2 linked regions of the Lytechinus pictus genome follow. The protein of the gene in region 1 interacts with the protein of each later gene in a biochemical or structural test. Links are inferred from orthologs where the notes say so. Each region holds a gene or a part of one and is shown on either strand. Other genes may lie near its edges. The genes, in order: serine/threonine-protein kinase VRK1-like and barrier-to-autointegration factor A-like.

Region 1 (16,327 bases):
CTGTAAAACACCACATAACGATTCATTTTGAAATAGTAAAATAATTTAATCGATAAAGATTCTACCACATCATGCCATCCATAATTGGACTTGTATTTGTATTTTTCAGACCCCTATTAACATTTGGATAAATTCTTTCTCTAATTTATGCACAGAATTTGTCAAATTGTATGTTTCAGTATCAAAGATTTAAAAAGTTTATGTTCAACTACATTTTCATGATGTTTGGAGCGAGGCAGTGTAGCTCAGTCGGTTAGAGCGCCTGTTCCGGATAAGATCGTAGATCTCAACTTGCGTGGGTTCGAGTCCCGCAGCATGCCAGAAGACGTCTAATAAAACAAGTGAAGCGCCTCTGGCAGTCTCACCTGCATCGCACGATTCAATATAGCAGCAGTGCTGGTTTGAAAACTACTATACAATATTTATTCACAAAAAACACCATTCATGTAAATGACATTTGACCTTGATAATGCGATCTAAGACTTGTCAGTAATACTTGATTACCCCTATATCCACATTTTATGAACTATATCTATAAACTTTGAAAGTTATTTACAGCAATCTAATAATTACCTCCATAATGGCCAAAGTTCAATGACCTTAAATAACCTTTGACTTTGGTCATGTGACCTAAAACTCGCATGGGATGTTCAGTGATACTTGATTACTCTTATGTCCAAGTTCCATGAATCAGATCCATAAACTTTCAAAGTTATAATGGTAATTCAACAGATACCCCTAACTTGGCCAAAGTTCATTGACCCTAAATGACCTTTGACCTTGGTCATGTGACTTGAAACTCAGGCAGGATGTTCAGTAATACTTGATTAACCTTATGGCTAAGTTTCATGAACTAGGTCCATATAATTTCCAAGTTATACTGTCATTTCAAAAACTTAACCTTCGGTTAAGATTTGATATTGACGCCGCCGCCGTCGGAAAAGCGGAGCCTATAGTCTCACTCTGCTTTGCAGGTGAGACAAAAACTGATGCTAGCGTTGTGTGTCAGCATGCCTCATCGCTGTGTACAGTGCGGGTGTGAATGCAGTTGGAAAACACTCTGTCCATCAGAAAGGATGCAAATGTTGGTCCTGTGTATAGGAAAGTCACAACCTATGCACGTTAAAACCAATACACTATTCGTCAGTCAAAAAAAAAGAGTAGGTTGTTCACCCAGTGTATTGAACCTGCCAGTACCCGGTACTAGTCATACTGCAAGAATCTTCAGGATTGAAGGAGGCAGTCAGTGTTGCTTGGAGAACTTGAAGAAGAACTAATATAATTATCATCATTTTACAAAGAAAACCGTTATGGTTTACTTTTGTAAACTATTAAAATTGGATATGCCGGGGGTACCCATCTCAACGTCCACATGTGATTTTTTACTTTAGTAATGAAATGAATTGTTCATAATTCAATTTTCTCAGCAATTCAATGCTCCAGTCTTCATGGTGTAAGTACCGGTATTATGATGCATAATTTACCTGTGCTATTATTTTGAAAAGGTGTATTTTACAATTCATCACAGACACAGTATTTGCAATTTTGTCATAATTTTTCTTTTTGAAAATTATGCTATTTTGTGACTAAGGCTAGATCTACGTCTCGTCTGCTCTTTTTAGCGATAGTATCGATATCAAGTCAAGGCATTCTAACGTTAGTTAGGAAGCCTTTTGTGAAACGGGTTTAGTAAGATTGGATGGAACCAACTCCGTGGTTAATTGGTTGGTGGATAATGATATGACTAACTTGTCCAGGTGTTGAGAAACGGGCCCCAGATCTAGATCTAGGCCACTCATTATATGAACAAGGTTATGATATAATCTATTTACCTTGGAAGTAGGCATAAAGTTATACACAACTTATTTGCCCCTCTGTATCCAAACGTTGGTACCTAAAACTTATTTGGCGTTGAGTGGCATGGGTAGAGCATGGACAAAGAAAATTTTCATCTGGATTGTACATGTTCAGGGACCTTTTAAACACCTTTTCCAAACGTGATTTGAACATGTTGACAGTTCGACTGTTCACAACTTCATCTGGTAGATTGTTCCATTGTGTGACAACTCTCTGAGAGAATACACCTTGTCTCAGCTTTGAACAAACCCGATTCTTCAGAATTTTCAAATTGTGTCCATGTGTTCTCTTTGATCTACTATCTAGACAGTGTAAAGAATTGGTCTGCACAAAAGTCTTCAATACCAGTCACTAATTTGAAGATCTGCAACATGTCTGATCGGTGTCTACTATAGGCAAAAGAAGGCAGTTTCATGCTTTGGAGGCGTGCAGGGTAGCTGAGGTCCCTTAATGAAGCCAGAAGTTTGGTGGCTCTTCGTTGCACCTTTTCAAGCTTCTCAATATCTTTTTTGTAGATAGGATGCCATACACATGAGGAATATTCTAAGACAGGCCTTATTAGTGACTTGTACAGAAGTAGGAATCCTTCTTTATCAAAAGATGAGAAGGTGCGTCTGATCATTCCTAGTTTCCTATTTTCTGCAGCAACAACTCTTCCGACTTGCTGATTAAACTTGAGCTTATCATCGAAAGTAACTCCCAAGTCCTTCTCCTCTGATACTGATGCAATGTCGGAAATCATACCATCTTTCTGCACTTTATAAATCCTGTCTGAACTTTTCCTACCTAGGTGCATCACTTTACATTTTGATGTATTAAAGGGGAGTTGCCATGTTTTGGACCAATTTGAAAGACTGTCCAAGTCTTGCTGCAACATCTCACCATCATTATTATTGTTGACAGAAGAGTAGAGTTTGGTATCATCTGCAAACATTTTAACTGTCGATGATTTACCAGATATAACCTCGGGGAGATCATTAATAAAAATAATGAAGAGAACGGGGCTGAGCACGCTCCCTTGAGGAATTCCACTGGTAACAGGTACATGATGTGAAAAGGATCCATTGACATTTACTCTCTGGCTCCTATTTGATAAATGCTTTAATCCAATTCAGAATCTTCCCTTGGATACCATAAGCATTAAGCCCGAGTTGAATCGATTTTAAAATCGGTGTTCGATCGATGTCATCGAGCGCCGGTGCAGATTTTGCAAAATCGGTGCATCGGAAAAAAAAAAAAAAAAAAAAAAAAAACGTCGGCCGGCCGATTCGTTTGGTTCACACAATCATTAAAATAAACAGTAATGTCCAACTTGACTACTACTTACTTGATTTATATTCCCCCAAAATGAAACCGATTGTGCAATTATGATGCCTATTCTTACTCGTCTGCTTGTGCCGAGATAATTTATGCACAATGAATTCATGAATGGAAGTCATCGCCATCGATCGTGCATGCGCAGTACTGTGCTTTAATCAAACCAGAAAGTTGCCGAGACCAACATAAAATATACCTTGCACTCATGAACAATATTAATATCATGACCATAGAATATTATTTAATCGTAATATTTAACAATAATTTATATATGATAATCATTAATATGCATTTAGAGCTTGATGTGAAACTTTGTATTTCGTTTTAATTTTCAATGACGGACATCACATGACGATCGACTTGAGTGAGTGCACTTGTCTAAAAAAAAAATTATCACGTCAGGATTGATTCTCGCACATTGTCAACATGCAGAAACTCTTTTCAAGATCGTAATATCACCATATAATAACATTATACATGTACATGACAAAACAGAGAAAATTGCGTTTGTTATTTTTTTCCATCAATTTGAAGTTAGTTTGTGCCCAACTTTGGGCTCTGATTTCATGAATGGAAAATGTGTCATACGTCATCGAACGCGCATGCGCATTGTGCTTCTTTTCTCGGAGACGTCTAGATGGAATAAAATAAAAATAATGCCAATATTAATACTTCCATATGAACATAACATACTTCGCTGACATCGTTAATATTTTTAGTATGGCCATCAAATCTTATTGCCTACATGTAAATCGTAATTATTTAACATCCAATAATAATTTAAATGAATTTAGAGCTCTATCCGAGTCATTTGTATTTATTTCGATCGCATGCTCTTGTGTCTGTGAAATAAAAATGGATTATCATATCAGGATTAATTCTGGAACATCGTCAGAACTCATATTCTACAATCTTTCCTCACATTCGTTATATCAGCATTGAATACCAATTCAAATGACCATCCAGAGAAAATTACGTATTATAATTATTCCCATCAATTTGTAGCTCATTTTGGATCCAACTACACGATCTCAGGCAAGTTACAGTGCTCTCTGCTGGTTGCTGGCAAGCACGCCTGTCGTTTCGGGAGAGTGAGTGTACGGGGCTGCGGACGGGGCTAGGTGTGTGCGATGCGAGTCTGGACTGCAAATGTTAGTTGACCAAAAATCATTCGGATCGACTCTGCGTGATTCATGGCTTTAATATTGTTTCATTTTAAACTTATATGTTGTCATCTGCAAATATCATTGTTGAAGATATTTTGGGAAGAATTCTGCATTGGTCCCCGGCCTTTTTTTGTGTTTTGTGATCATGGAAAATACAAACAAACTTTGCTCTGTCATCTGCTTGTGCAACGCTCACCCGGCCATGCCAGCGCTAGCGCATGCAGTGCGTGCTTAGCGCATCGACGCGACGGCCGGAACAAAAAAAATTGACTCGATTTTCCCGCCTTTAAAATTCGATGCATCGATGTTCGATCGAATTAAAGCTGTCGAACACCGTTTTTCAAAATAATCGATATGACTCAGGCTTAATAAGCATGCAGTTTCTTCAGCAGTCTATCATGGGGAACACTGTCGAAAGCCTTTTGGTAGTCGAGGTAAATGCAGTCCACGTTACCACCATTATCCAGAATGTTATTCCAATCTTCAATCACTTCTAGAAGTTGAGATGAACAAGATCTTCCTTTGCGAAAACCATGTTGGTGCTCTGACCACAGACTATTTTCATCCATATGCTGCACTATTTCTTCCCTCACCATGGTTTCCATTATTTTGCTCACCACACTTGTCAAACTAACTGGACGGTAATTTCCTGGAGCTGTCTTGTCTCCCTTCTTGTGCAATGGAACTACATCTGCTAGCTTCCACTTAGATGGAACTTTTCCTTCATCCAGAGATGCATTGAACATATTTGAGAGTATTGGGGTGACATGTTCACCGAGTTCCTTGAGTACTTTGATGTGTACCCTATCTGGGCCTGGAGATTTGGATTGGTCCAATGATTGTAACACTTAAAGGACATTTTCAGTGTCAATGTTGATAGATGTCAAAGGTTCGGCATAACTTCTGTCAGAAATATCTGGCATGGTCATCAAATCCTCCTTCGTAAACACAGAGCTGAAAAAATTGTTCAAAAGTACTGCCTTCTCCTCATCATCAGACGTCAAAGATCCATCAGGTCTGGAAAGAAGACTGATGTCGTGCTTTATTTTGAGTTTACTTTGAACATATTTCCAGAAACTCTTGGAATTAGTCTTCAATTCTGAGATCAACTTGGACTCAAACTTCCTTTTGGCTTGACTGATAACTCTTGTAGTCTCATTTCTGATACGATTGAAAACCCATCTAGATTGAGCCGACCTTTGACTTTGATGAACATTCCATGCCTTGTGCTTCCTCTTGATTGCAGATTTGATTTCAGAGTTCATCCATAATGGTTCTGCTTTAAATAGTAGTTGAAGATGCAGTTGACTTGGGTACAAACTCCTCGGTTAATTTGTCAATAATGTCCTTAAACAAGTTATATTTGTCTTCACATCTTGATCCTCTTTAAAGTCGAAAATCTGATGGTCCTGAACAAAGTTTCTCATCTATCATTGTATCTTCCTCTGAAATAAGCATCTAGGGTGTGACATAGCCTACATACTGAGCATTAGACAGTATGTCAAGCTGCTTTAGAATGTCATTTACAAAACCAGTATCTTGATCCTTTCTTGTAGACGAATCATCCGAATCTACTTCTGGTATCCCCTGTAGTATCACATTATTTCGCCTCCGAGCCTTTTCTCTCTCTTCCTCCATGCAGCCTTTACAAATAGACACAACATCAGATTGCGACAGTTTCAGATCATCTGGACTATATCTCTTAGCACTGGCTGAAGCTGACATCAAACCTTGAGAGAGATCAGCTTGTACTTCACTGACCGATTCAGTCAAAATCTGGAGTTTATGGTCTAATTCATAACAGTGATCCTGCACTGAGCTCCACTTTACACTTTCTAACTCCAGTTTTGAAATTCTGTCATTTGCTTCGCCTAAGAATTTGCTACAGTATTTTTCTTAAACAACTTGATCGGTTTTAACGGCTTCAGTTCAATTGCTCTTGATTCGCATTGAGCACAAAACCAGTGTGCAGCTCTAACTTCTTGAAATAATCAGAAATCAGAAGATGATAATCCGCTACAATTCATGCAAAACCATCCTTCACAACGTTCACATTCTATACAGTCAGAGTTGGTATCTATGAATGGTAATTTTACTACATACAGAAAGAGGCTGATTCACTTTGATGAGAAACGTCATTTGTTTTAGTTGAGTTTTTCCTAGTTTTGCTCTTTTCAAGTCCTGATACTGATCATGCTGATAGAGTTCCTTTCTTATTCTTTCAGATTTTGTGTCCAAACTACTGATACTAGGAACTATTGAATTATTGATCCTGTCAAAGGAGCACTCTGGGAAAGTTTCTCAGGGCTGCCACCACTGACCACTACTTCGCTGACTTCACCCTTCCTCTATCATTATCAATTTAAGTCTATCCTCCATCTCTGAGACTATATTGTAAAGCTGGTTACTATTATTAGCAACTGAATATCTCAGACAAAATTACTTAATCAGCTTCACTCCTATTAAAGTAAGGCCTGGAAATATTTTAACTGTAACAAGTTAAGCCTGTAAATGTCCCACACATCAAACTCAAGCTTCAAAGGATATGTCTCATTCTCAAAACTCGACCAAAATTAAGCTAAATGTAAAGTAATTCGCAGTAAAATTCCACTATCACAATCTCGTAAGTAGCATCTGCATTGCCATCATGTTAGTGCATAGGTTGAAAATCTCAGGTTTGGAGAATAAATACTGAAGTAGGGTGACTTACATAGTAACATACATTATCTGAATGAGAGTTTGATCACATGTACAAAGTCTAAACTAAAGGCTCTTTGATGCCTACTCTGATTTGACCTGCAAAATCAATAATTCTTCAATCAACTTCAAATCAAGGTTTACATATAATAAGTCATAAAATACATAGGCCCCTACATGGTTTACTTTTAAAATTTAAGTTTTAATATTTTTGTCTTACATTATTACAATGGTCGATATCTTACCGGTACCGTGGCGTGGCGTTGATCGTGGCCTGGTTCAGACTTCAGGTTGTACCCTATTATTAAGTAAAGGCTATATCACCTCGACTTATGCTCGCTCATCAAAAGAATCTAACGTTAATAATAATATGCCGCTAGCTGGTTGTTTCTGCTTTAGCCTTTAGGCCTTGATCTTTTTGTTTGCCGCGCCGCACGAGTATCGTACCGTTGTACTTCTCCAGCGCGGCTCGAAGGTAAACGTCGCCAGAGTTTCGGGGCAAATCTACGGCCGTTATCGTAAGACACTCGTACTTTCAAAAACGGCGAGCGCGCCACTTGATTTGCTGGTTCCGGGTTCAACAAAATTTTGTAAATAATGTAGGTACCCCGGTATTATATCACAGAGTTAACTCAGCGAAAATATGGCTTAGTCTTGAAAGCTGTTGCAGTCGTTCTTACTCAAATATAATAAGTCGTAGCAGGCTTATCCACTTTGAAAAATCATGAGACCGAACAAAAGTTTCGGAAAAAGAGTCTAGACCGGGACAAATAGGTAACCGGACAAATACCGGTATCTCCATTTATCGTAATTAACTGCGTTTGTTAACGTCGAGACTCGATCGAGAAGAGGAATTGGAAGCATTATAGAGAATAGTCTGACATGTCTAGACTTAAGTCTGGCTTAGGCAGCAGTTTTAGGCGTAGGCCTACCTGGCATTTACAGAAAATTTATGTTAAACTTTAACTAGCGTAGATAGAGGTCCCTTCATTCAATGCTAGACTTTCTAACGGCGGCGTAGCCGTAGCCGTAGGCGTAGCGAGTGCATGTCCGAGTTAGCTTCCGAACGCCAGCCTGAATTCAACTCTGCTCTGCTGCCTGGGCCTGCGCCTGCACTGGGCTGGGAGTGACACTCAGCAGCGGACACCCCAGACCGTAGACGCCGCCTGCTTCCCGAGGACCTCGGCCTTACGATCACCTGCTGCACTGCCGATGCCCTGGCCCTGCCCCTGAATGCATGTCGTTGTTCAACTTGTTGTTGGCGCAGGTCCGGCTCATTGCTTATTTCAGGCTGTATTACTCACTGTATTGACATTGTACCGGTACCGTATTATTTGTACTGTATGTGTTCCCCGTGCGTGTGGCCGGATTGTGTCTGCCGCTGATCAACAACATTGATTAAGTAAGCCAGGGCCAAAGTTCCAACTCCAATCACTGACACAGTGACACTGCCACAAAAAAATCAGCTAAGCCTAAGCTTGACTGGCCGTGTTTCAACTTGTACTATTGTAGATACATGTACTAGACTGCCGGAATTCTAGACTTAATAATAATATCACTTAGCACCTTTTCTAACTTAAAAACGTCACTCGTTGTCGTTACTCTGACTCTCTGTTTTAAATTACTGTTGGCGTTAGGCATGTTCATCATGTCGACAATTGATAATCTTGTTCACTGCTCTAACAAATAACGTTTATACTATAGCTCAGAATTTAATTAGATTTAGGGAATTCAGTCAGAAAATATTCGCAAGACAGGATCTGAATCTGAGCAAACTAACAAAGCTAATTTTATTTAATTACAGAAAAGGAAATCAATTTAAGAAAGCCGATTTATGGCAATTGTAAATTATAGACATGTACGTGATGCAAATAGTTAGACTAGATTGGATCTAACTTATTTTGACGTAGGGCCCTAGTGAAGTCTTCGGAAATTTTGCTTGCTGACTCACTATTTGTACACTGTATGCTTTGACTCTGACTTCTGAGTGGCTTGCTGAATGTGAATGAAAGAGTTTAACCCATCTGCGTCTATGTTACGGAGTACATTAGCTGGTGACACGGTACACAACAACGTCAATACTCCAACAGTCTTGACAGTTGTCTGCTGAGTCGCTGACTAAGTTTCAGACAATACCAGGTTCATGAAGTTTCAAACACCAATCAATTACAGCTGTAATTAAGGATTCATACCTCTAGAACTATGTTTGATTGAAATGAAAGGAAATACTTATTTCTAAGATATCAAGCTTTTGAACCAGTGGCCGGTTGCCTGCTGCCAAAAGACTAGTAAAATGGACAGTATTGTGTCTTCTGAGGAGTTAGCAGGGGGTTCTGATGCACAGACAGTCGTACCACTTCCGTTTAAAGAAGGGAGCAGTGCAGGTAGAGTCACAAGTGAACATCCTTTATCAGAGACAGAGATGCCTCCTGCAAGAATGGATCATGCAGCAGAGACATGTGACAAGACTGTTAAAGGAGACGCTTGCCAGTCAGATAGGGAAGGTTTGCAAGATGGTACAACAGTGAGTCCAGCCCCAGGAAAAAAGGGATCAGGACGAAGAGTCCGATTTCCTGAAGGGAGTCTTGTTACAAGCGAGTATGAGCCACCTAATCCATGGATTAATGGTGAGATTTTTTCCTTTTTTTTTAGTCTTGTAACATATGTCATACATCATGTCCTTTCAGGGAATGGAAATGATTTACAAATTTAGGTCTATTCTTTTCCTCTAAAATCAAATTTTATTTGGGTTATATTCCCCTGAGAGGTAATCTTCTTCAGTATAGTCTGCTAGTGCTATCTTCACAGATTTTTACAGAACACACATGGCAGAGTACTTAATACAGTGGCAAAAAGAAGCTGCTGAAAACTGCTTATCTAAAAAAAGAGCCAATGGAGTAAATTAGAGAGTCAAAAGGGGCCTAAGCTTTCGATCCTAGCAGAATCTTCGTCGGAGGCAAAATGACTTAATACAGTGGTGGATGTAGCTGTTGCCAACTTATTATCATTTGTAGACAAAAGGTTTTCCCTCCTCCCAATGGCCAGCAGAACGTTGGCTATTCCATAAAGGGCAAGCCTACCCCAACATAAAAAATAATCGAGCATAAAGCAAATACAAATTATCAAATTCCTAAGTGAAATAAGAAAGTTATGACTGGGACTAGTTATGACGTTCTAAATTTTTGCTTATTTTCACAAACACAGTTATAAATATGCACAACTTTGATTATAATGCAAATGAGAGAGTGAGAGTCAATGGTGTTAGAACACTATTTCTTTATTTTTATTATTTAAAGATAAACATGACAATATGGAAGTCTCACCTTTATTCTTGTATCACAATCTAAGGCAATCCCACATAAGGTCAAGTTCACCCCAGAAATTTGTTGATTTTAATAAATCAGTAGAGTAAAATCAAACCAGCATAATGCTGCAAATTTCATCAAAATCAGATGTAGAATAAAAAAGTTATGTCATTTTAAATTTTCGCTTATTTTTCACAAAACTGTTATATGCACAACTCCATGATATGCAAATGAGAGAGTCTATGATGTCACTCACTATTTCTTTTGTCTTTATTGTTTGAATTATACAATATTTCGATTTTTACAGATTTGACAATAAGGACCAACTTGACTTTAATTCCATAAAGTGTTAAAATAATGGTAATTCCACATGTTCAGGGAGGGATTCAATTTTGTTTCACATGACAGTGAGGAGAAAATTACAATTTTTCATATTTCATATAATAAAATACCAAAGAAATTGTGAGTGAGTGACTACATCAGTCTGCTTATTTGCATGCCGGCCTTGATGTGCATATATTACTGTTTTGTGATATTAAGCAAAAGTAACCTTATTTTGCATTCGATTTGATGAAATTTTCAGTGATACGCTTGTTGGATTTTTCTCCTTTTATTCAGATTAACTGTTTGTTGGGGTGGACTCGTCTTTCAAATGAGGAATCAAACCTTTTTTACCATGATGTTGAGGGAAAAATTAAGATATTTCATCTAATAATAAAAAGAAACAGTGAGTGACATCATCAGTTCCCTCATTTGCATACCGACCAGGATGTGATCATGTGCACATACAATGTTACATATACATATACATGTATGTACAAATAACTGTCTTTTGAAAATGAGCGAAACTTAAAAATCTAATTTCTTTTTTTTGCACCAGATTTTGATGAAATTTGATTATGGATACTGTTTCTAAGAAAGCTAGAAACTAAAATACACATATTTAGAAAATTAAACATATAGGGGAAAATACTCAAAATAGAGAAAAATTTATTGCAGCTGCGAAAAATTTATTGCAGGGGCGAAATGTATTGTACATTTGTTGCTTTTTATACTCACGCCAAATGAATTTTGAAACTTTGAAGGGTATAAAAGAATCAGCGGGCAGTCAGTCCATTGCAAATCTTGTGCATTGGACTGCTTCCTCAGTTTATATTAGATAACCAATTCTCATGAAATTTTGGCACAAAAATTGATCTTGGAGTAAAGATGTGCAAGACATATATTTTGTGTTTGTCGGAAATCATGTTGCCATGGAGCAACATACATGTATTATATGGCGAAAATTATGTAAAAATCTTGCAGTTTGAATTCCTCAGTTTTCAACCAATTCTCATGGAATCTGGTTCATACATTGGTCTGGAGGTACATGAAAAGATGTGGGGGGCATTTTTTTTGGGTGTTTGTCAGAAAGTGTGTCACCATGGTAACAGTTTTATTCGCAAAACTAAGGTAAAAATCTTGCAGTTCAAACTAGAACATCAGATTTCAGCCAATTCTCATAAAATTATGAGATAGATCTATAGATAGATAGATACACTGTAGATAGATCTATAGATAGATAGAGAGATAGATAGATAGATAGATAGAGATAGATAGATACATGTCTAGATGGATGGATGGATAGATACATGTACATGTAGATAGATACATGTAGCTAGATAAAATTGGTTTGAGGCAAAGATGTTTAAGACATTCTGTATTTTTCAGTTTTTAGCCAGTGCTCATGAAAGTCTGTATAAATATTCAACTTGGAGTAAAAACATACAAGATTTATTTTTTATTATGTTAATCACCTTCAGTGAATTCTAGTTTGGAAGTGGAAGTGCTGAACATAACAAAATCACCATTAGAGATAGGCATTGTAACAATTACATTATATTGGATGGCTCAGAATGGAATACCATAAATATTTCCAAGAATGTGGGAAAATATTCCACAAATTGCAGATTGGCTCTAACAAGTGGAATATTTCTGGTATTTCATGAAATAAAGCCATCCAATATCATCTATACAACCCCCCCCCCCCCCAAAAAAAAGAGGGAGAAATTTAACAAGTCATATCACTTATCACATTATGTCATCACTTTAGGATCAATTTTGGTCAGTGACATGCGACTTACATGTACATGTAGTTCATGATGACGTCATTGTGATCTATGCTGCGCATGGCATTACATTCATTGTTGTACGCGTTGTATATTTCATGCATTCGTGCATGCGCACTAGACTGTTGAATATGGTCTCAAACTCAACGGTAAATTTTGTACAGGAGCCTATGGGATATTCGTCGGATTTAAAGTATGGCTAAAACGCTCTATATAGATAATAATTATACTGAAAAAGGTAACCCCATGTACATGTACATGTAGCATGTAGGTGTATGAATGTGTACTGTATAATTTCATCAAGAAGTACAACCCAGCTATGTCTAATGCATTGTATTTTAATTTTTTGGGTTTCATGGTTCAAACTTCAAATACGATTTTTTAAAAATGAATTGTGTAGAGAATGATGCATAAAAGACTGCATTCATGAGGTGCTTGATTATCCATTTCTATAAAATGTCCACCTCAGATTAATTAGCCATGTACTTGAACCTACATGTTTTTGTGTCTCGCCCACTTATGAAAATAACCAGAAATATCGTGATTTGCGAGGGCACGCAACAGAATTGTATCGAAACTTCATTGTGAACTGACTGGGATGGAATAACACTTGTCATAAGAGCCTTGCACGTAAACTTTAATGTTGACCTGAAAATGATCTTTGACCTTACCATGTGACCTCCGACTGCAGCATAACATGCAGGTCGCCTAAGTCCATCTACATGTACCATCCAAGTTTGGTTGAAAAGTGACTTACAGTTGCAGAGTTAGGTGTCATAAAAGAGTCTTGCATGTAAACTTTAACGTTGACCTGAAAATGACATTTGACCTCACCATGTGACCTCTGACTGCAGCAGAGAAAAAAATACTTTTTTTTTTTTGCAGGAGCCATTTTTCTAACTGGTCACAAATTTATGGGAGCCGTTTTTCAATTTCCGAGAGCAATTTTTGAATTTGCTAGAGCCATTAAAAAAAAAATAAATCACATTTTACACATGTTGAATCTGAAGTATTGTTTGTTGTGTTTTAACTTGCCATCCGTACTATTTCTTTAACCAACAAAAGTAAAGATTGCCATAATGCCATTTGTTTAATGTGCCATCTGTACTATTTCTTTTACTATTAAAAGTGTCTAGTCTACATCTATACTAATTATAGTACAGTCCCAATTAACAGGGAAATTGTTCCTCATATTCCTACCTGAACTTATGTGTTCGTCTAGCTGACAGTTTTTTACTCATGGTTCATTATTTTTTCACAGAATTGTTCAAGCAAACAATTCAGAAATCACGAAGCAACTCCGAGAAATATCCGGTGACCGATGCGATGTGCAACTCAAATGCATTCGCCTATGCAGCTACGCACATGCACGCGGTGTCTATTTCACTACATGTATCGCTATACGTGGGCCTACACAAACAACGAGGGTAAACAAAAAAGGACCCGAGTTCGGACTGACATTGTGATTAAAATAAAAATAGCAATGCAATTCCAGGACTATGAAAATGAATATCGATATTCGAATAACGGAAAAATATCCACTGGTAATTCATCGAAACTTTTGCAAAGATTAGACAGGGTTCTTACCAACAGTAATTACTTTGGGACTAAGGATAAATGGCGTTCGAGCTAAAGCTGGTTCGCAGCAGCAGCAGCAGCGCGCCCAGTCCCGAACTGCCAATATGGCGCCGTACATGAAGCTGACGTTAGAGTACGGCGATTGCATTATATTGCACATAGCGCAATACAACACGCGCGGTTCTTATCCACCTCTATGTACGCTGCACAAGGGAAGACAGCGGACCTACGAGCCAGTTTTTTTCAAGGAGCGATTTTTTTTCCCCTGATCGCTCTCTCTAATGGGTTTGCGAGCACGATTTCAAAGCTTACGGGAGCGATATCACTCAGCGCCCCCTTGTATTTTTTTCGCTGGACTGCAGCATAACATGCAGGTCCCCCAAGTCCATCTACCATCCAAGTTTGGTTGAAAAGTGACTTACGGTTGCGGAGTTAGGTGTCATAAGAGAGTCTTGCATGTGAACTTTAACGTTGACCTGAAAATTACCTTTGACCTTACCATGTGACCTCCGACTGCAGCATAAGATGCAGATCCCCCAAGTCCATCTACCATTCAAGTTTGGTTGAAAAGCGACTTACGGTTGTGGAGTTACACATGTATGTGTCATAAGGTTTGTGACGGACGACATTTGGATCCCTAAAGGCGACCGCACACCTTACGACTGGTCTCCGACCCGATTTTAGAATAAATTGTTGTAGAATTTGATGCTAATATTGAGACTTGGAATATCTTACTGTGTAATGTTCTAAATCATCGTACGAATACCTATGATCAAATTTGTGACTATGCTATCATCCTTCTTAGAATAAAAGCGAATTTAATATCTAGTCGTAATGACGTCATAGCAGTCGTACGATTAGCTACGATTTGAAACTAATTGGGACTTTACTCCGAAATAAGGGCTTGCAATCTTTCAAAATTGTTATAATATTATTATTTCAATTAATTTCAACCTCAAATAAAATGATATGTTCCATTCACATCTTCAGAAAATGAGCAAAATGCGATTTGTTCCAAAATCGGGTCGCAGACCAGTCGTAAGGTGTGCGGTCGCCTTAAGTCTCGCATTCACCTCTGGTGGGCGAGACAAAAATGAATCATGACTACAATACATTATACATGTACATGTAGGCCTATAATTGCCGGATTATAATACTCGAGATGAAGTTTTGGTCTTCCATGTTGCATTAAAATTACATTGTGATAATCAAAGACCCCTTTGGCATGGGAATGGTGTGAGAGATAGCCAGAAGCATGTCTTATTATATAGTGACCAAATTTACATGTTCAAGCAGTTACCTGATACGAAGTGACAGATCAAGTGAAGTAACCACCTTAGCCCTAATGGGTTTGACAGAGTGGATCATATATCAACCACTGTATACTTAGCTGTCAGTAACTGAGTAATATCATCATTTGTATCCCACACCTTGAATGTTTGTTATATTTTCTATTTTTTCAAACCCAGAATTTACATGTACTCATTACAAATTTCTTCTGAAAGATAGAAAACGGCATAGTTGTATACATATGTGTAGATGATTGCACTGCACATGGTGTACATTTGCATGTAGACTCTTATAGGGGTCATGTAGTTCATATATTTTGAAAATGTACATTTATGGCATTATGTACACCCTGACAATGTAAATTAATAATGTATGCATTTCCCATGTACATGATGTACATGTAGGCCTACATCATGAAATGAATAACTTTGTTTGTGATTTTGTTTTTCCTTTAAAATTCATACATGTGCATGTATGCCTCTATGGTTTCCAGTTCTAATTATGAACTTGAATATGTATAGTTCCAATTGCAGTATAAGCCTATCCTTCAATTGATTGCATTATTAGCACTGTGTATTACTGTATCCTGCCAATGTTACTTCATTTCTGCCCTACATGTATATAGGCTAATGGCCATCTAGATTAACCCCACATGCATGGACACAGGCGTGTATCATTTCTCATCACATCACAAAGAACATACATTTTAACAAAATATCAACTTTCAATTTTGTAATGAATGACAACCACCAACTTTTAAAACATTGAGATTGTGGAAGGAATGCAGTTTCAGCAACATGCATTTGGCTTATCTAGGCTTGTAGTGTAGGCTGATTCTGCATTTTAGTTCAAACAGGTGGAAAGTAATAAACATAAAGTAAAAAAAAGAATGATCATGAGGAATTAGAGACCTACTCCATCGCCAATAAGACTAAAATCAATTGCAACCCCATGTATGTACATTAGGCATTCATAACAGCTACCTATGCACATGTACCTGCATCACCAC
Region 2 (16,865 bases), about 39 Mb from region 1:
TATAAATATTTTTAGCCCGGACACTCCCTTTAAGGCAAACGTTAAATCCATGTTATCATCAGAATATTTGAAGTAAATTTTCTGTGTCAGAATTTCAGTTTATCATTAAATCACTCTTCCTTTGATTTAATCATCACCAAATACTCCACCATGAACATCATCACCATCACTATCTCTATGGCATTCATCTTCATCATTGTCACCACCATCTTCATCCTTGATGAAAGCTTGAATTTGGCGTTTATTATTTTCGGCTCAATTTGGGGACCACAAAGTTCAAGATAAATTCGGCACCCCCTTAGTTTCATTACCATTATGGCGCCCCGAGTTTAAAATGGAATTGGTGCCCCCTTTACTAACAATTATTTTGGGTCCCATCATTATTTTGGGTCAATTTGGCGCCCCCTCATTTTCGGGTCAATGATTTAGCAAGCCTCCTCAAGTTTAAGACAATTATGCCCCCCCCCCAAAAAAAAAAAAACAGATTTTTTAAGATTAAGATTACACTGCCCCTATCTTATTATCCCCCCTCACTCTTTTTCGTTTCTTTCATATTTCTTCCCTTCTTTCACTCTTTTCCCCTTCTCTTGCCCCCCCCCCCCCCTTTATTGCGCCTTCCTTTCCCTTCCCTTTCTTCCCCTATTACCCCGGGGGGGGGGGTGGCCAAGAAAGCAGTGTCCTCTCTGTGTCACTAGTCAACAAGTTGCTTCATTTATCAGAGTAGAAAGTGCAAAACTGACATAAAACATTCATATGAAGATGATTCATAATTCTTTTAACTACATGTAATTCTCAATTTTGTCAGGGAGACACTTCAGAACAGTAACTTCACACAAAAAAGATATACAAGAATAACAAGTCGACAATAGATGAAACAAATTTAAATTCTAAAATGCATTTTTATTAAGCAATAAATACATATACAATCAGAATTGAATGATTAAAACAACTTTTAGAAAATTTGGACACTCTGTAACTCAAATTATGTGTATAAAGTAAGCTACAATATGGTGTAATGGAGTTTGGACAGACATCCTTCCATAAATTATTCTAATTTCAATTAGCAGGCTAGGTAATGGGAAGGTGTGCCATGGGAGTAATTAAACACTAATCAATATTCGATTATATGAACAAAAACAATGGTGTTATGTAATTAGGAAATGGGAGTCAATGTAAACAAGATCATAAATACATACATATCTGCCTTGATGGCTTGCATTATCATCAATCTAAAGAAAGTGACCAAAAGCAGAATGTATCTAAAAATGTACATTGCAAAACAATCTACAGATTTCCACGGTGTAACAAAAAAAATCAGTAAAATTATCCTTTAAAAAATGGAAATTGTATTACTTTGTACTTCATATGTTTTGTAAATAGTAATCGTGATTCTTAAAGTAAGTTCACCAGTCACCAGCAGCAATTGAATGGATGAATCAATTCAAAATCATGATAAAATAGATATTTTCTTGTGATCAATCAATTTCTTGTGATGCATTATGATCAATCAAAATCCCATATTATTGTGATGTCACGCAAGTCAAGGAGTAATACTGTAATAGTGTCAAAAGTACATTTTAATGAATGATACAAGTAGATGTAACCATTACAAAATGATGTAGCACATTTCAAAGTATGGGAATAATCACCTACACATAAAATTCATGAACTAAATAATATATGGAAGAGATACAATCTAGAATGTGTCATGGAAATACAAAAAATTGAGTTAAATTATTAAGAGGACAATATGAAACGCCAGTGTCTCTTTTTCAAAAAAATAAAGCCAGATAACAGATGACCAAAAAATGCACTATGAAGTATGAACACAATTTTTTTTAACACGACACATTAAAGTTCTCAAATATATGAAATTAATATAAGTGCTGGATATTGTTTAGAAATGTTATACCCTACATAGTACATAACATCATGATAAAATTGCACTAAATCTGAGCTTAACGTGTGTGTTTAGGGTAACTACTGATACAAAGGCTCATAACAGAAGGAATAAATGTATTACGCATTTCCCGTACAACCCATTAGATATTGTATTCTACAGATTTCAAACAGACCACAACCCAAATTGTGAATAAAAACTACACTATCATCATAGACTTCTACACTTTATACAACATATAGTCAACTTTACAAGAAGTTGGGTGGCACATTCTATATCATATGAATCTGAACACATCAAATAATCCTGCACTGTGGTCATGCTTAAAGGGATTTTTTTTTTCTATATGCTTAAAGGGATGCTCCAGGCTGGAGATATTCATATCTCAATAAACAGAGTAAAATTCACTGAGCAAAACGCTGAAAATTTGATCCAAATCAGATAACAAATAACAAAGTTATTGAATTTTAAAATTTGCATTATTCCGGTGAAACGGTTCTAGGCATGTCTCCATGAATATTCAATGAGCAAACTGATCATGTGATATCCCCACTTGTTCTTTTGTATTTTATTATATGAAATTAGGTTCATTCAAAATTTTTCTACCACGAACTAAAACAATTGGATTGACAACTGATTAAGTGCATTAGTTATTTATTGCTGCAATATAATGGAGACACATTATTTACACATGTATGAAAAAATGAAACAATTATGATTTTATGTAATAACATAAGAAAAAGGAAAGTGGGGATGTGACATCAGCCCACCTAATGATCATGATGACGTACTTATAACTGTTTTTACAAAATATTGCTGAATTTTAAATTTCAATAACTTCGATATTTGTTATCCGATTTTGATGAAATTTTCAGCATTTTGCTCTGTGAATTTTACTCTATTTATTTAGATATAGATAACTTCAGCCCGATGTTTCCCCATAAATCTTAATTTGCTACTCTTCAAAAAGTTGATACTTGGGACTCGTGTTTCATAAAATTGTTCGTAAAGTTACAATTTTTCATGTACCTGGAACATGTAAAGTCAGATACATTCTATCACTTAGCGCAAGAAAGGCTTCCACTTGAGCATAAAGGCATTCAATCATAACATGCAAATACTTTCATGAAAGAGCCCCCAAGTAAGATTGAAAATCAATGCAGTTTTCTTGATAATGTAAGCACCACACTTACATGTACTCCCAAGGGAGCAGAGAAAAAATGAGAATGTGCAATGAGTTGTGTCAGCAAGCCAAAACTCGAATGACCATGGTATTGATTTGGCAACTTACTGAAGAACTTTCCTTATTGATAAATAAAGTACTACATGATAGCAGGTTCATCTTTAAAAACAAAAACTTGCTCTTATGCCTGGGGATTTCAATGCCTACATATTAATTTGGTCAGGGTCTATTTTCATAAATTAAATGAAATCTGAAACATTGGATTTTGCAGTGAAGGAGGACTTCCCTAGGCTCTTTTTTATTATTATTTTCCAGGGATTTTTTTAGCATTTCAGGAGCAAAATCCTCCCGAAACTCATTGCAATTTTCCCCTAAAATGGGTACAGTAAATGAAATATTTGATGGTCAGTTATTAGTCATTATATCCATTGTTTTATCAAACTTTAATATCTTACCACACAAAGTGCCTCCTTTGAAAAATTAAAATTCCTGTGGTGGCGTCCCACAGTAGTTTGCTCCTTTTACATCATGCTGCTTTTATGTGCACCGGTTGGCCCCCTTTTAAGCTCTGATCCTAAAACATAAACTGGGTAAATGAGATCACAAAAAGGCATCGCACCAATCCTTCAAACAATTATAGCAATCTCCCGCCTGTTTCTTGTTGGCTCCTCCTTCGTCCTTCAGCCAATCAATGAATAGTTCTTCGTCTTTCTTTAGGACCAAGAACTGCCCAAGGATAACATAGGCCTGTAATGAAAGGGGAAGGAAAAGAGGGAAAGAAAAGGAGAGAGAAAGAGACAGTACAAGAAAGAGAGAGTGAAAGGGGGAAAATAAAAGGAATGAGGGAGAAAAAGATGGAAAAACCACAGAAGAGAGAAGTGGTGAATAAAGATGGTTATCATAAAGACAAAAAATCACTCAAAGTCATAGAAAATAACTATGTATGAAATGACAAGTACTGTGTGCGTGACACCCTAACAACATACTGATTTGATTTGAACAGAGAAAAAGGTCTTTCAGACATGATAAGGCTTGACAACATTTTTCATAGCTTTTTACACAGGGAGAAAAATCATCCCACCCATGCTTATGAAAGTGCCTCACAGCTCCAAATCGCAGAACTGTCCATAGCTGCAAAGAAAAACTCATGAGCCTGCATTCTAAACTTGAGTTGAATTCAAACTCTGGTCTAAAGTTGTTGTTAAACTATGGATAGCAAATTGTGACAGGTATCTCTTGCAGTCTAAGTTCAGTTTGTCAGCTCATTCGATACTCAAATCATACAATAAGAGACTGGAACAAATTATTTTTGAAATAGTTCTCTTTACCATTAAAAATGTGGAAAGTGTCAAGTAAAGATATGAAATAGATTTTGTAAATGCATTTACCGTATTCAATTTTTGGCTTCCCATAATTTTAACACAGAGTTAGACCTGACTTCAGATTATGGGCCATGGAGACATAATATATGATGCCATAGGTTAACCGATGTAACTATGTAATAATTATTTTTATGTTAATTTCTTAAAATAATTTTTAAAATTGTTGCCTTCCAACAAAAACTTATGTTTAGCTGCAACTCGTTATATCCTCATGACTTTGCTAACATGGGGCTTTGATACAGCGACCACATAATTAGAGAGCTCATTTCATTTTCTAAATTCTTTGAAAATTTCATTGGCAACACTTAGTGGTTTTGAATACATATTCTCTAATTATGTAACAGTGGTGCATTTCAGACCATTCCAAATTTACTTCACTACTGTACACTGTATTTCTGCATTGTTGTTAGCATGTTATCATACCAGTGGAAATTGACATTTAAAAAAATTAAAACTAGGTAAATCAATTAAACCTCAGTAACTTAATAATAAATATAGTAATAAGAACAAGAATGCAGCTGTTTGAATCGGGCATGAAACAGGCATGAACTAAGCTATTATTTCCATCAGTATGCATTTCTCATTATCAAACTTGGAATTGACTGTCAAGCACTGGTGTTACATTTCCTGCCCTTCTGATAATGCTTAAGGTTGTGATTTGGTTAGATCATGGAGATTTCCCTGGTCAGATCAGAGAATTTCCAAGTTAGATTCTCGATGGTTGAAGTGGGTTGATAAATTAGACAGTGCAGAATATACAGTAGAACTATGCTGCATGAAGACTGTGTTGTATTTTGTCATGTCTAAAGTTTCCATGTTTTGTATTCAAATAAAATAAAATAAATGTTACAAATCTGCAGTTAAAGTACATGTAACCAATACTGTGTCACTATTGCAGCACCTTCATTCTGTTTAAATTACCCTAGTCCCCATTCTTCTATAAAAATCACAAATTTATTGTTACCTTATCAAAGCCTTTCTCACTAAGTCTACCACCAATGGCAGGTCCGATGCCAGCCATTTCCTGCACCGATTTCTCTCCCATTGGCTCTGCCACAAAGTCTCTATGTTTCTGGGATGTTGATTGGGCCATGCTGCAATGTATTCACTACCAATCTGGTATCTAATGCAGGGGAAGATATATAAAAAAAAAATTTAAAGAAAAATCACTTAAGATAATTCCCAAAGGAGTGAGTCACATGGATGACTGGAAAGGAAAAATACTAAGCTAGCCTGGCAGGGTTGTAAATACTTGTAATAAACAAGTGGAGCACCTCTGGCAGTCTCACCTGCATCATGCGATCAATATAGCAGCAGTGCTGACTTTGAAAACTACTTTAAAATAATTATTCACAACCAGATCCATAAACTTTCAAAGTTAAATTGGTAATTCCACAAATACCCAAAACTTGGCCAGAGTTCATTGACCCTAAATAACCTTTGACCTTGGTCATGTGACCTGAAACCCGGGGGGGGGGGGCAGTTAAATATATTGCTGTACACACACGTGGCCAAATCATTTCCATATACCCCCTGAACAAGTTTTTCTGTGTGCAAAATAACCACCTAAACAAGTTTTTGTGGGCTTTATTTGCACATTTTGGCCCCTAAACAAGTTGTCGCCAGAATATGACCCCGGGGAAAAAGCTTGGGAAAAAAACATACCTTAAACACGTTTGGCTAGTCCTTAAAAAAAAACGTACCCTAAATACATTTGACCCTGCGATTGACCATTTACCAGTCTTTCAAAACTATCCCTTTTTTGAAAATCTGTGTTTTTGATACCCTTAACGAGTGCACGCGCAGCCCATGTCCAAAACTGAAAAAAAAAAACCCTTTAAACGCGTTTGTTTGGTCACGCGTGTGTACAGCAATATATTCGATTGGCCTCCCCTCAGGCAGGATATTCAGTAATACGACATTAACATCATAGCCAAGTTTAATGAAACTAGATCCATATACTTTTTAAGTTCTTCTTCTTCTTGTCAAGTACAGACTGCCATTGGCATATTATCGTACTAGTTGTGCTTGTCAAGTGCCCAGATGAATAGTGCAAGTAAAAATCTCTACAAAACTATGTGCGGCTAAAAACAGAAGAGGCCTTAACGAAGCCTCATTTGCTGCACCTCCTGCTTGAAAGACGCGAGGGAGGTGCTGTGGACTATCTTTGCTGGGAGCGAGTTCCATATTCTGATAGCATCAGGAAAGAATGTCTTTTGATATATTTGTGTTCTGGCATATGGGATTTGGAACTTATCAGGATTTCCACGTGTACATGGTCCAGTTGGTGGAATATTGATTTTGATATTGATTCCCCCAACATGGTCTAAGTTCATTGACCCTAAATACTTAAGTTAATACAAATGCCAACAACAGACAAATTTAAAAGAAGTACCGTATTGATATATTTTGGCAAAATAAGCACTTTGAGCTTCCATGACTCCTCACACAAGCTCATGAAGTAGTAATTTTCAGCAATATTAATCCTACAAATAGTACAAGAAGCGACCGGGAGTTACAGGCTCGCGCCTTCATCCCGTACCAGATGAGGATCATCATGATGATGAAATGACCTTTGAGTAGACCTTGTCTTTCGCTTGGCGAGTGGTGACAGCACGCAAATCGCGCAATTTGCATGCTGTCGCCAAGCGAAAGACAATGAAATCAAGATGGTGACGTTAACACGGTGGCAAGTTTTCAAGCATAACATTTTTCTCGTTTTTTGAATGAATTCTTGTTTAAAAATGAAATTGATATTGTAGAAATGTCCGAAATGAAGTTGTATCCCATCTACATGATTAAGGGCTAGAGTAACTGCATCTGTGCGCGGCAGGGGGTTGGTGTGCGGCCATTCAGCAGACTCAACAATATTCCACTGAAATCACCAACACACTCTAAACATGTACAGTACATATTCACTAACTCACTCCCACACTACAAAATCATCCGGCGACATGGGCAAAATCTCAAATAAAAAGTGAAATTTCCTTAAGTAAATCACCATATCTCGCATAAAAAAATATCACCGTCGGTTCATAGTTAAGAAACAAGGGGTATAAAAAAGTGGATTTTTCACGGTTTTCTCGATGTTCGTGGATTTTGAAAACATGTCCTCGCCCCTCGGTAAAAACTAGTACTTTCGCGAGCCGATGTCGGCCGCCATTTCTTTCCGGAAGTCAATGCTGAGATCGAAAAAATAATAAAAAACATGAAAAATACGACAACACCTCAAAATGTAGCGCCCTAAGGCCTAACTAAGTGCGGCTTTGTGTGTATGCTCGCTATTTTCACATGCGTTTGCAATGGAACTGCGCACTCAGCAACATTCGCGCGCCGTTTAGAGGTGAATTGCAGCTGCCTCACAGAGCTTGCGGGAGCGCCATAGGAATTGTACATCGGAAACCGCACTAGAGACAGGGTGGCCGCACACAGAAGAATGCTATCGCGGTCAGAAGTGGTGGTCAATCTTGACCACCACCGTCACACGATTGCTATCGGCCAATTTTTGCGATAAAAATAGTAAGTACCATCAGTCCTTTTTATATGATATGTAGGTCTATGGTATGGATTAAATTTGTGCAAAATAGTTACACTAGTTACAGGATGGAAAAACCCTAACCTAAGCATTGTTAACTTAAGCGGCCGCACACTGCGCCGGAACTCTTGATCTTTTAAAACTAAAAGGAAAGTAGAAATCTCGGGGGTGAAAGTTTCAGGTTTTTTGGTGGTACACGCAGATGAATGGGAAGGAATCCCTAGGGCCTAGCTCGGCGCTAGTGTAGTTTCGCACCTCCCCGTTTAATCTCACCCTAAATAATTCACAACCTAAAATACTTGCATCTGATCCTCCAAAGTCCAGTAGAAGTTGAATATTTGCCGTTTTGACACTTTTTTTTACAAAGTTTTACACCTATTTCGGAATCACTCGGTCGCTTGAAGCTCAGCGCTGCACATAAGCAGTCGGTACGCGTACAGTACGTACCACCTAGTGAAGTGCAAGAAGAGCGAGTTTTTCTATGGTATCTTCAAAAAGATTTTTCCCCCTCTTTCAGCTTGCACCAAGTATTACGGTAGTGGTTGTGCAGAGTGGTTGATGTTTGTTGTGTGAAGGTGTGTGTGGGGTGTGCGTGTGTGTGCTTGTTTGAATGAAATAAGAAATGTGAAAAATGTGAATACACGTAGATTTAGCGATGAAATAAGAAATAATAATGTAGAGCCTTGTTTTGAACTCTAGGTCAGAGAACTTTCCTTCAGTTTACAATTGTATGCTATGTTGATTTCATGCTAGTAGATTACATTTTTCAATTTTTCACATGCCGTACCATCTCCATCCATACCACCTGGGACATGCAATGTACATTTCATCCTTTTGTTTGCATGCGCATACACTCACTACATGCAGGGAGGTGATCATATTACGTGTATGTCATTACTCTCAGTCTCGCACACTAACTGCACCTGATATCCGTTTAGGTTTACCCTTCGTATAACTTTGATGATTTCTGATTGGTTCCTTATACTCATCCATGCTTATGTTCATCTATGATTGGTTGATTATATACAAATGAATATTTATGTTTGTGCAGTCGGATGGAAAAACAATAAAAAGTGGCAGAGAGTGCCAAGGCCCTGGGAACAATTTTTTTTTCACCGGGGTGCTGAGATTAATATACATGTATATCAAGGGCGGATCCAGGATTTGTGAAGGGGGGGGAGGTGGCGGAGACCAGCTTCCCTACCTGTTGAGAAACGTGGGCATGAATCAGTACTTGAGCGTAAAGAGGTCGCAACCAGCCGCTCAAGAGCTGATGAGCGGGTGGGGGGGGGGGGGTGGTAAGCATAAAAAAAATAATTTTTAACCGTCATTTCGTAATGTTTTCTGCAAAAGTGACCAATTAGAAATTCTGTCAGTAGGGGAGGGCAGGGTGGGAAAACAATTTTTTTTAAATTAGTAATGATTTTTTTTTAAGGGGGGTCCAGCGGGTTTTTAAGGTCTAAAAAAGGGACTTGGGCGCAGCCGCGGCCGATTCGGCCCCCTCTAAACAGCCTGAACTCCTCAAATCATCCTGAAAGGGGGAGGGGGCGCGGCCGAATCGCCCCCCCCCCCTGGATCCGCCCCTGTATATATATACAACACATTTTGCAGGGGGTTGCTGTGCATCCCCTGAAAAATCTGCAGCACCCCTATCACCCCCGCTTCCAAGGGCCCTGGAGAGAGTCATGTGCTCAGAGAGACGTTTGACCTTATAGGTTTATTTAATATATAATGTTCTATGTACACTACATGCCAAGTTTCAGAACAGTTTGTCGCTCCATGTCTGAGAACACCCCCCCCCCCCGAAAATAAAAACCAAACAAACATCACTCTGCCTTTTTAGGGTTAAATCTTTTTATAATTTGAACAAAATGTGTCGAGATATAGTTTACTTTGATCATGCATGTGGGGGGGGGGGGGCGGCATTTTCCAAATTTTACCTAAGGGCGCCCAAAATCTGGTCGGGCCCCCAGGGGTATAAAATACTGGATACGCGCATGGGGGTGGGGGTGGGTCATCTCAAAGAATCCCCAAAATGTAGCTCCGATATGTATCGACCCTTACTCCCTGCAGATAACCTGGAAACCATGCCCCTAATTCCCCTCCCCCTGTCGTGAAAGCACATTATTTCCTTCAATTTTTATACATTTTACTTTGGTATTCTACTTGTGAGGGGGTCCAAAAGGGGCACTTCATAATATTATATTACTATGTGAGGTAGCGTAGAGACCGAGTGAGACATTTTACATTTTGGTATATAGAAAGTTTGCATTTTGGGCACAGCTCTTTACAGATCGTTATAGTACAACATTATTACATTCTAGTGCCTATATTACTTTTTATATCTTTGGAAAGGACCCACTGAAGCTAAGAAGGAAAAAAATGCTTTGCTCCCACCGATAAAGCTACTATCTTCGCCCTCACCCCCCCCCCCCCCAACCTTGTGCACGGTAAAATTGTTTCTACATAGTACCTAAAAACTTTGCATGATAGAACTATAGAAGAATTTGCATTGTTGTAAAAAATATAGATATATATGATGCGACCGTATATAAATTGTAAGTCAGTGAAAAAGGAGTGAAAATCACTTTTAATTATCAATTATATAGGAACATTTTTATTTTGCTTCAGATAGGGAAAAGATAACCCTTAGCGCGGAATTTGCTCTGAAAAACCCTTTTCTCTTAAATGAGCGATTTTGATACCCTTAAAGGGATCCTGCCCGAAAAAATGCCACTTATTCCGCGTATTTGTGCACGCGCGTGGTTACAGCGTTGTATATAGAGTGGCCCCCAGGGGCGTGAGAATGAAGCGGGATACCTTTTGATTGCGGCAAAAATGTTATCATCAGAGAAACTCCAAAGATGAATGATCCTGCCCGAAAAAATGCCACTTATTCCGCGTATTTGTGCACGCGCGTGGTTACAGCGTTGTATATAGAGTGGCCCCCAGGAGCGTGAGAATGAAGCGGGATACCTTTTGATTGCGGCAAAAATGTTATCATCAGAGAAACTCCAAAGATGAATGATCCTGCCCGAAAAAATGCCACTTATTCCGCGTATTTGTGCACGCGCGTGGTTACAGCGTTGTATATAGAGTGGCCCCCAGGGGCGTGAGAATGAAGCGGGATACCTTTTGATTGCGGCAAAAATGTTATCATCAGAGAAACTCCAAAGATGAATGATAAAAATGACCCCCCCCCCCCCCACTTCCAAATAAAAACCCTCGAGAAAACCCAGTGTCAGATCAGTCGTTGACCAAACATCTTTGGCGTCAAAACTCGAGTTGAATTTTTATCATGGCTGCTGCTCAGCCTCAGGGCGGCAATTTGCCTGACCAGGCAGAGTTTGAGGGAATCAGTCTGACCGAGATTGGTCATAGATTCAAATATGACATCGACGGCATGGTTCTCTGGTGCCGAAACCATGGACTTCTTGCAACACATATGGACTGTCCTACCTGCGGTCGTCCATGTCGGGAAGGGGCATATAACAGGGCCGTTGATGGCATCACATGGCGTTGCGCAAATCCCTGTCGGAAGACGGTGAACATCAGAAAGGACAGCTTCTTTGAAAGGAGCCATCTTCAACTCTGGCAGATAGTTGCCCTTTCCTACGTATGGTCAACCAACTGCGGTCGTGCTCGAGGGCTGCCTCAGGACATCATCATGAAGGAAGTTGGAGTCTCGAACAAAACGACGGTGGACTGGATGCAGTTTTTTCGCGACATCTGCGTCCAGTACTTCCAAAACCACCAGCAGCAGATCGGGGGTCCGGGTGTCCTAGTTGAGATTGATGAGTCTCTTTTTGCGAGAAGGAAAAACAACGTAGGACGCGCCCGACCAGAAAAGTGGGTCCTCGGTGGCTACGAACCTGCCCGCAAGATAGGCTTTCTGGTCGAAGTCCAGCAGCGGGACGCGGCTACCCTGCTGCCCATCATCCAACAATGGGTGGCACCCGGCAGCATTATCTGGACCGATATGTGGAGAGCATACAACAACCTACCAAACTTGCCGGGACAATACCAACACGGGGTGGTAAACCACACACTCAACTTCGTTGATCCGAACACCGGTGTGACTACCAACAGAGTCGAGTCAATGTGGCAGAGAGCGAAGGCGAAGTTCAAGGCACAACAAGGTCCAACCAACAGAGCCATGATAGGCGACTACCTTTGTGAGTTCATGTGGTCACAGCGCTTTTCGGCAAGTCCACTCTTTCATTTGTGGACACAGATTGCCACAGACTTGTACCCCGTCAATTAACTTTATCTTACATGCTCGTCTTCCTATTTAATCATTTTTATTTTATTTTTTACTATTATTGATATTGCCAGTTATGATTTTCCAAATACCAATATTTTGTTATTACTTTTTTAGTATCATTATGACAATAATTATTGACATTGTTATTAGGTGATCCGCAGTTCATTCTGCGAAGTACTTGATCAGTTTTAATTTTGATATCAGCTTCAGAAAGGACACGAGTTGTAGACATAATTTCATGTATCATTTTTAAGGGTCGGGCATTACAACATGTTTTCGGTTAAAGTTTGCTCAATGTAATTAGTTACGTATCATTTTTTAAAAACCTATGTTTATGTTACAGTATACGTCTTAAAGTTACATATTGTTTTCTTCATGACATGATCTATATTTTTTTTCTTCTATTAGAACCATCTGTATAATTCCTTCCAGCATATTGTTGCTCAAAGTTTATATATTCCTTCCATGAAGGTTCATCAATAATATATATTTTCTAAAATCAATGAGACAAATATATTTTGTGTTATTTTGTCTTTTGTTTGCAGTCATTATTTCATTTAAACGTTTGATTTGCAATATTTGTAGATGTGTGCTGATCACTGATGAATGTGTTTGTTTTGTGAGTGTAAATGTATTAGCGGCTACGATTGAAATGTGAATTTCGAAAGTGTATGTTTAGAAGACAGAATGATTGCAGTGGCGTAGACACGTCCTCAGACCTGGGGGGGGGGGGGGATGATGATGTCGCACATACACAAACACACCTTTACATCCACACATACAGAAGCATATAACTTCCCTTTCTTTTTAAGTATCTTTCTTTCTTTCCTATCTATCTTTCTCTTTCTTTCCTTCCTATCCATCTTTTCTTTCTCTTTCTTTCCTTCCTATCCATCTTTTCTTTCTTTCTATTTTAATAAACCCCTCTCTTCTTTTTCCTTATTTTTCTTTCTTTTTCTTTCTTTCTAATCACTCTCTCTCTATTCTTTCTTCCTTTCCATTTTATCTTTTTATCTTTTTTCTCTTCCCTTGTCAAATTTATCTTTCTTCTTTTTCTATCTATATATCTTTTCGTTCTTTCCTTTTAAGGCTATTTTCTATTTTGTAAATCTATTGTTTTATTTTTTTCTCTCTTTAGTGCCATCTTTGTATTTACATTTTTTTACTCTTTCCCCCGTCCTTTCTCCTTATTCTTTCCCTGTCTTTTTTCCTCTCTTTGTCACTTCTCTCTCTCTCCCGCCTCTCTCTCTCCGCCCCCTCTCTCCTCTATTTCTTTCTCTTTATTTTTTTAATATACCAAAGGCCCTAATAAACATTTTGTTTTCGTGTGTTTTTTAATTATTGTAAAGGATTACTTTGATGGTTTATGCGTTTTGGGTTCACTACATAGGTGTTATACTTTGGAGACGAATAAAAATTAGTCCAACAACTCTCTAGCTCAGGTTGCAACGGCTATGTGGCCTCTCTCTCTCTCCCTCTCTGAGCATATGACTCTCTCCAGGGCCCTGGGAAGCGGGGGTGATGGGGGTGCTGCAGATTTTTCAGGGGATGCACAGCAACCCCCTGCAAAATGCGTTGTTATATATATATATATATATATATATATATATATATATATATATATATATATATATATATATATATATATATATATACAGGGGCGGATCGGGGGGGGGGGCGAATCGGCCGCGATTCGCCCCCTCCCCCTTTCAGGCTGATTTGAGGAGTTCAGGCTGTTAAGAGGGGGGCCGAATCGGCCGCGGCTGCGCCCAAGTCCCTTTTTAGACCTTAAAAACCCGCTGGACCCCCTTTAAAAAAAATCATTACCAATTTTTAAAAAATTGTTTTCCCACCCTGCCCTCCCCCACAGAATTTCTAATTGGTCACTTTTGCAGAAAACATTACGAACTGACGGTTAAAATTTTTTTTTAATGCTTACCACGCCCCCCCCCCCCACCCGCTCATCAGCTCTTGAGCGGCTGTTTGTGACATCTTTACGCTCAAGTACTGATTCATGCCCACGTTTCTCAACAGGTAGGGAAGCTGGTCTCCGCCACCCCCCCCCCCCTTCACAAATCCTGGATCCGCCCTTCATATACATGTATATTAATCTCAGCACCCCGGTGAAAAAAAATTGTTCCCAGGGCCTTGGCACTCTCTGCCACTTTTTATTGTTTTTCCATCCGACTGCACAAACATAAATATTCATTTGTATATAATCAACCAATCATAGATGAACATAAGCATGGATGAGTATAAGGAACCAATCAGAAATCATCAAAGTTATACGAAGGGTAAACCTAAATGGATATCAGGTGCAGTTAGTGTGCGAGACTGAGAGTAATGACATACACGTATATGACCACCTCCCTGCATGTAGTGAGTGTATGCATGGGCGGAAATCCCAAGGGGGAAAGGGGGGGGGGGACACAATATCAAATGTCCCCCCTACTATTTTTTGTCTTTTATGATGGTAAGAAATACATCATTCTAAATCGAAATAAAACATGTATTTTGGGACGAGTTTAGACGAGATGACCGTACTGTGGGGATGATAACCTTTTTTTTTGCTTGTCAAATTTTCCCGCCCCTTGTCCCCATAGGCGGATCCAGGGGGGCCGAGGCCCCCCCCCCCCCCTATTGGCGGAGCAAAACAAGAAAAAAAGGGAAAGAAAAAAGGAAAAAAGGAGGGAAAAGAGAGGAGAAAAGGAAGAGAAGGACGACGAATGCATAAAATAAGATGAGGGGAAGACTTGGAAAATAAAAAGAATCTTTCGTGCCACTATATAAAATTTTCGCTCGCGCTTCGCGCTCGCATTGCCTGTTAGGTGATTTACATATCTTGTTCAATATGGAGCTCAAATATCAGGTTTGGGAGTCAATATACAAAACATATTTCACCTCGGAAATCGAACTTTCATTATTTTGTGTGATTTACAAATTTATTTTTAAAAAGTGCTCTGTAAAAATGTCAGTTATATGGTCTGAATAATTTTATCAACATTTGCTGCTTGCGCTGCGTGCTCGCAAATTTTGATTTATCAGGTACCTATTATTTTCGTGTATTCCATAAAGTTTTCAAAATATCCCTTTTCAGGTCTGATTGCCAAGACGTATCAGCTAGCTGGCTGCACGCTCGCATTTCGATTGGCGAGTTATATAAATGTTTCAATATAGATTATACAACAAACTACTTAAAATCCCCTTTTCATGACAGTTTATAAAAAATTCTAGCTCGTGATTTGCGCTCGCATTAATGGTTAAAAATATATTAACTGATGCATCCTATTCATGATTACAAAGGTGAAATGTCCAGTTTTTATGCCATAATATCATCAGATTTCGCGTTCTCATTAGGCATTAATAAATATGATATTAATTTAATAATTAAATTGTCACTTTTGTTTCATCTCGCGCTTAGCAAGAGGAATAGGAAGATAGTCATCATTTTCATGACATGTCGTAAGGATGTCCCGGTCCTATGTCAAAACTCAAAGTAATAATAATGAAAATTTTAGCTCTTTTTTAAAGTTCGATCCATATCCACCTTCAGGGGCGGAAATCTCTCCCAAAAGGTAGGGGGGACACAGGGGCGGATCCAGCCTTCGCCAATAGGGGGGGGGGGGCGGTAATTTGTTTCAGCCATATTTTCCCCGATTGGCAGCTCGAAGATGATTTTTGTTTGTTTCTTTGAAGGGGTAGTCCTCATTAGTCACTTCTTAGCTTTATTCTTATAAATAAATATATAATATCATAATCCTTATTTATATGATGCGAGCGCGAACCGCGAGCTAATTTTTTTTTGAAATGTTATGTATTTTTTTCCTAAAATTTGAACTGATTCTGGGCAATGTTTGTTATCCTAAAAAGATGTGTATGCAACTTAATAATTACTACAAACGCAAAGCGCGAGCAGAAATGAACTGATGGAAAAGATACCTGTTAAAGTAGCATTTAACAATCAAATAATGCGAGCGCAAAGCGCGAGCTGATTTTTTTTGGACTTGTTCACCTAAAGAATGGAAATTCTAAGCACTTTTTGTAACTCAAGCAGAATAGGTATATAAGTAATCAATTAATGCGAGCGCGTAGCGCGAGCGGAAAATTTCGAGATTTAGTCCTATAATATTTACTGAACGAGACACTCTATTCATGTTTTGTATATCCTGAAAAGGGTGAGTATTAATAATGCGAGCGCGAAGCGCGATCTGAATTTTTTTGGACATGTTCACAATTTTTATATACGTTTTGAACTGGTACCTGTTGAAAAGGTACCTGTTAAGGATTGCTTGCACTTACCATGAAGGCGTTACATATTTCAACGATCAAAAAATGCGAGCGCGCGAAATCTGATGATATAATGGCATAAAAACTGGACATTTCACTTTTGTGATTATGAATAGGATGCATCAGTTAATATATTTTTAACCATTAATGCGAGCGCAAATCGCGAGCTAAAATTTTTTATAAACTGTCATGAAAAGGGGATTTTAAGTAGTTTGTTGTATAATCTATATTGAAACATTTATATAACTCGCCAATCGAAATGCGAGCGTGCAGCCCGCTAGCTGATACGTCTTGGCAATCAGACCTGAAAAGGG

What was found.
Region 2: of the proteins of serine/threonine-protein kinase VRK1-like (region 1) and barrier-to-autointegration factor A-like, one has a biochemical effect on the other in vitro, tested with the Caenorhabditis elegans proteins (2 studies listed by BioGRID). The link is inferred for Lytechinus pictus from reciprocal best matches to the Caenorhabditis elegans genes vrk-1 and baf-1.

The regions. Positions count from the first base shown.
Region 1 is NC_087251.1:3,481,459-3,497,785, forward strand, and holds the start of serine/threonine-protein kinase VRK1-like, read right to left. Parts: upstream 8,506-16,327; 5' UTR 8,342-8,505; intron 8,246-8,341; exon of another isoform or gene 7,981-8,245; intron 7,861-7,980; exon of another isoform or gene 7,718-7,860; intron 7,509-7,717; exon of another isoform or gene 7,258-7,508; intron 1-7,257. UniProt on the Caenorhabditis elegans protein: Serine/threonine kinase that phosphorylates baf-1, thus regulating the association of baf-1 with chromatin and nuclear membrane proteins during nuclear envelope formation. May act through the egl-17 signaling pathway.
Region 2 is NC_087251.1:42,556,374-42,573,238, reverse strand, and holds barrier-to-autointegration factor A-like, read right to left. Parts: upstream 8,554-16,865; 5' UTR 8,274-8,553; intron 5,589-8,273; 5' UTR 5,559-5,588; coding exon 5,430-5,558; intron 3,831-5,429; coding exon 3,684-3,830; 3' UTR 880-3,683; downstream 1-879. Other genes in the region: uncharacterized protein LOC129258002, read left to right, coding at 11,299-12,264. UniProt on the Caenorhabditis elegans protein: DNA-binding protein which plays an essential role in nuclear envelope formation. Required for normal chromosome segregation during mitosis. Associates with the nuclear lamina via its interaction with LEM domain containing proteins emr-1 and lem-2.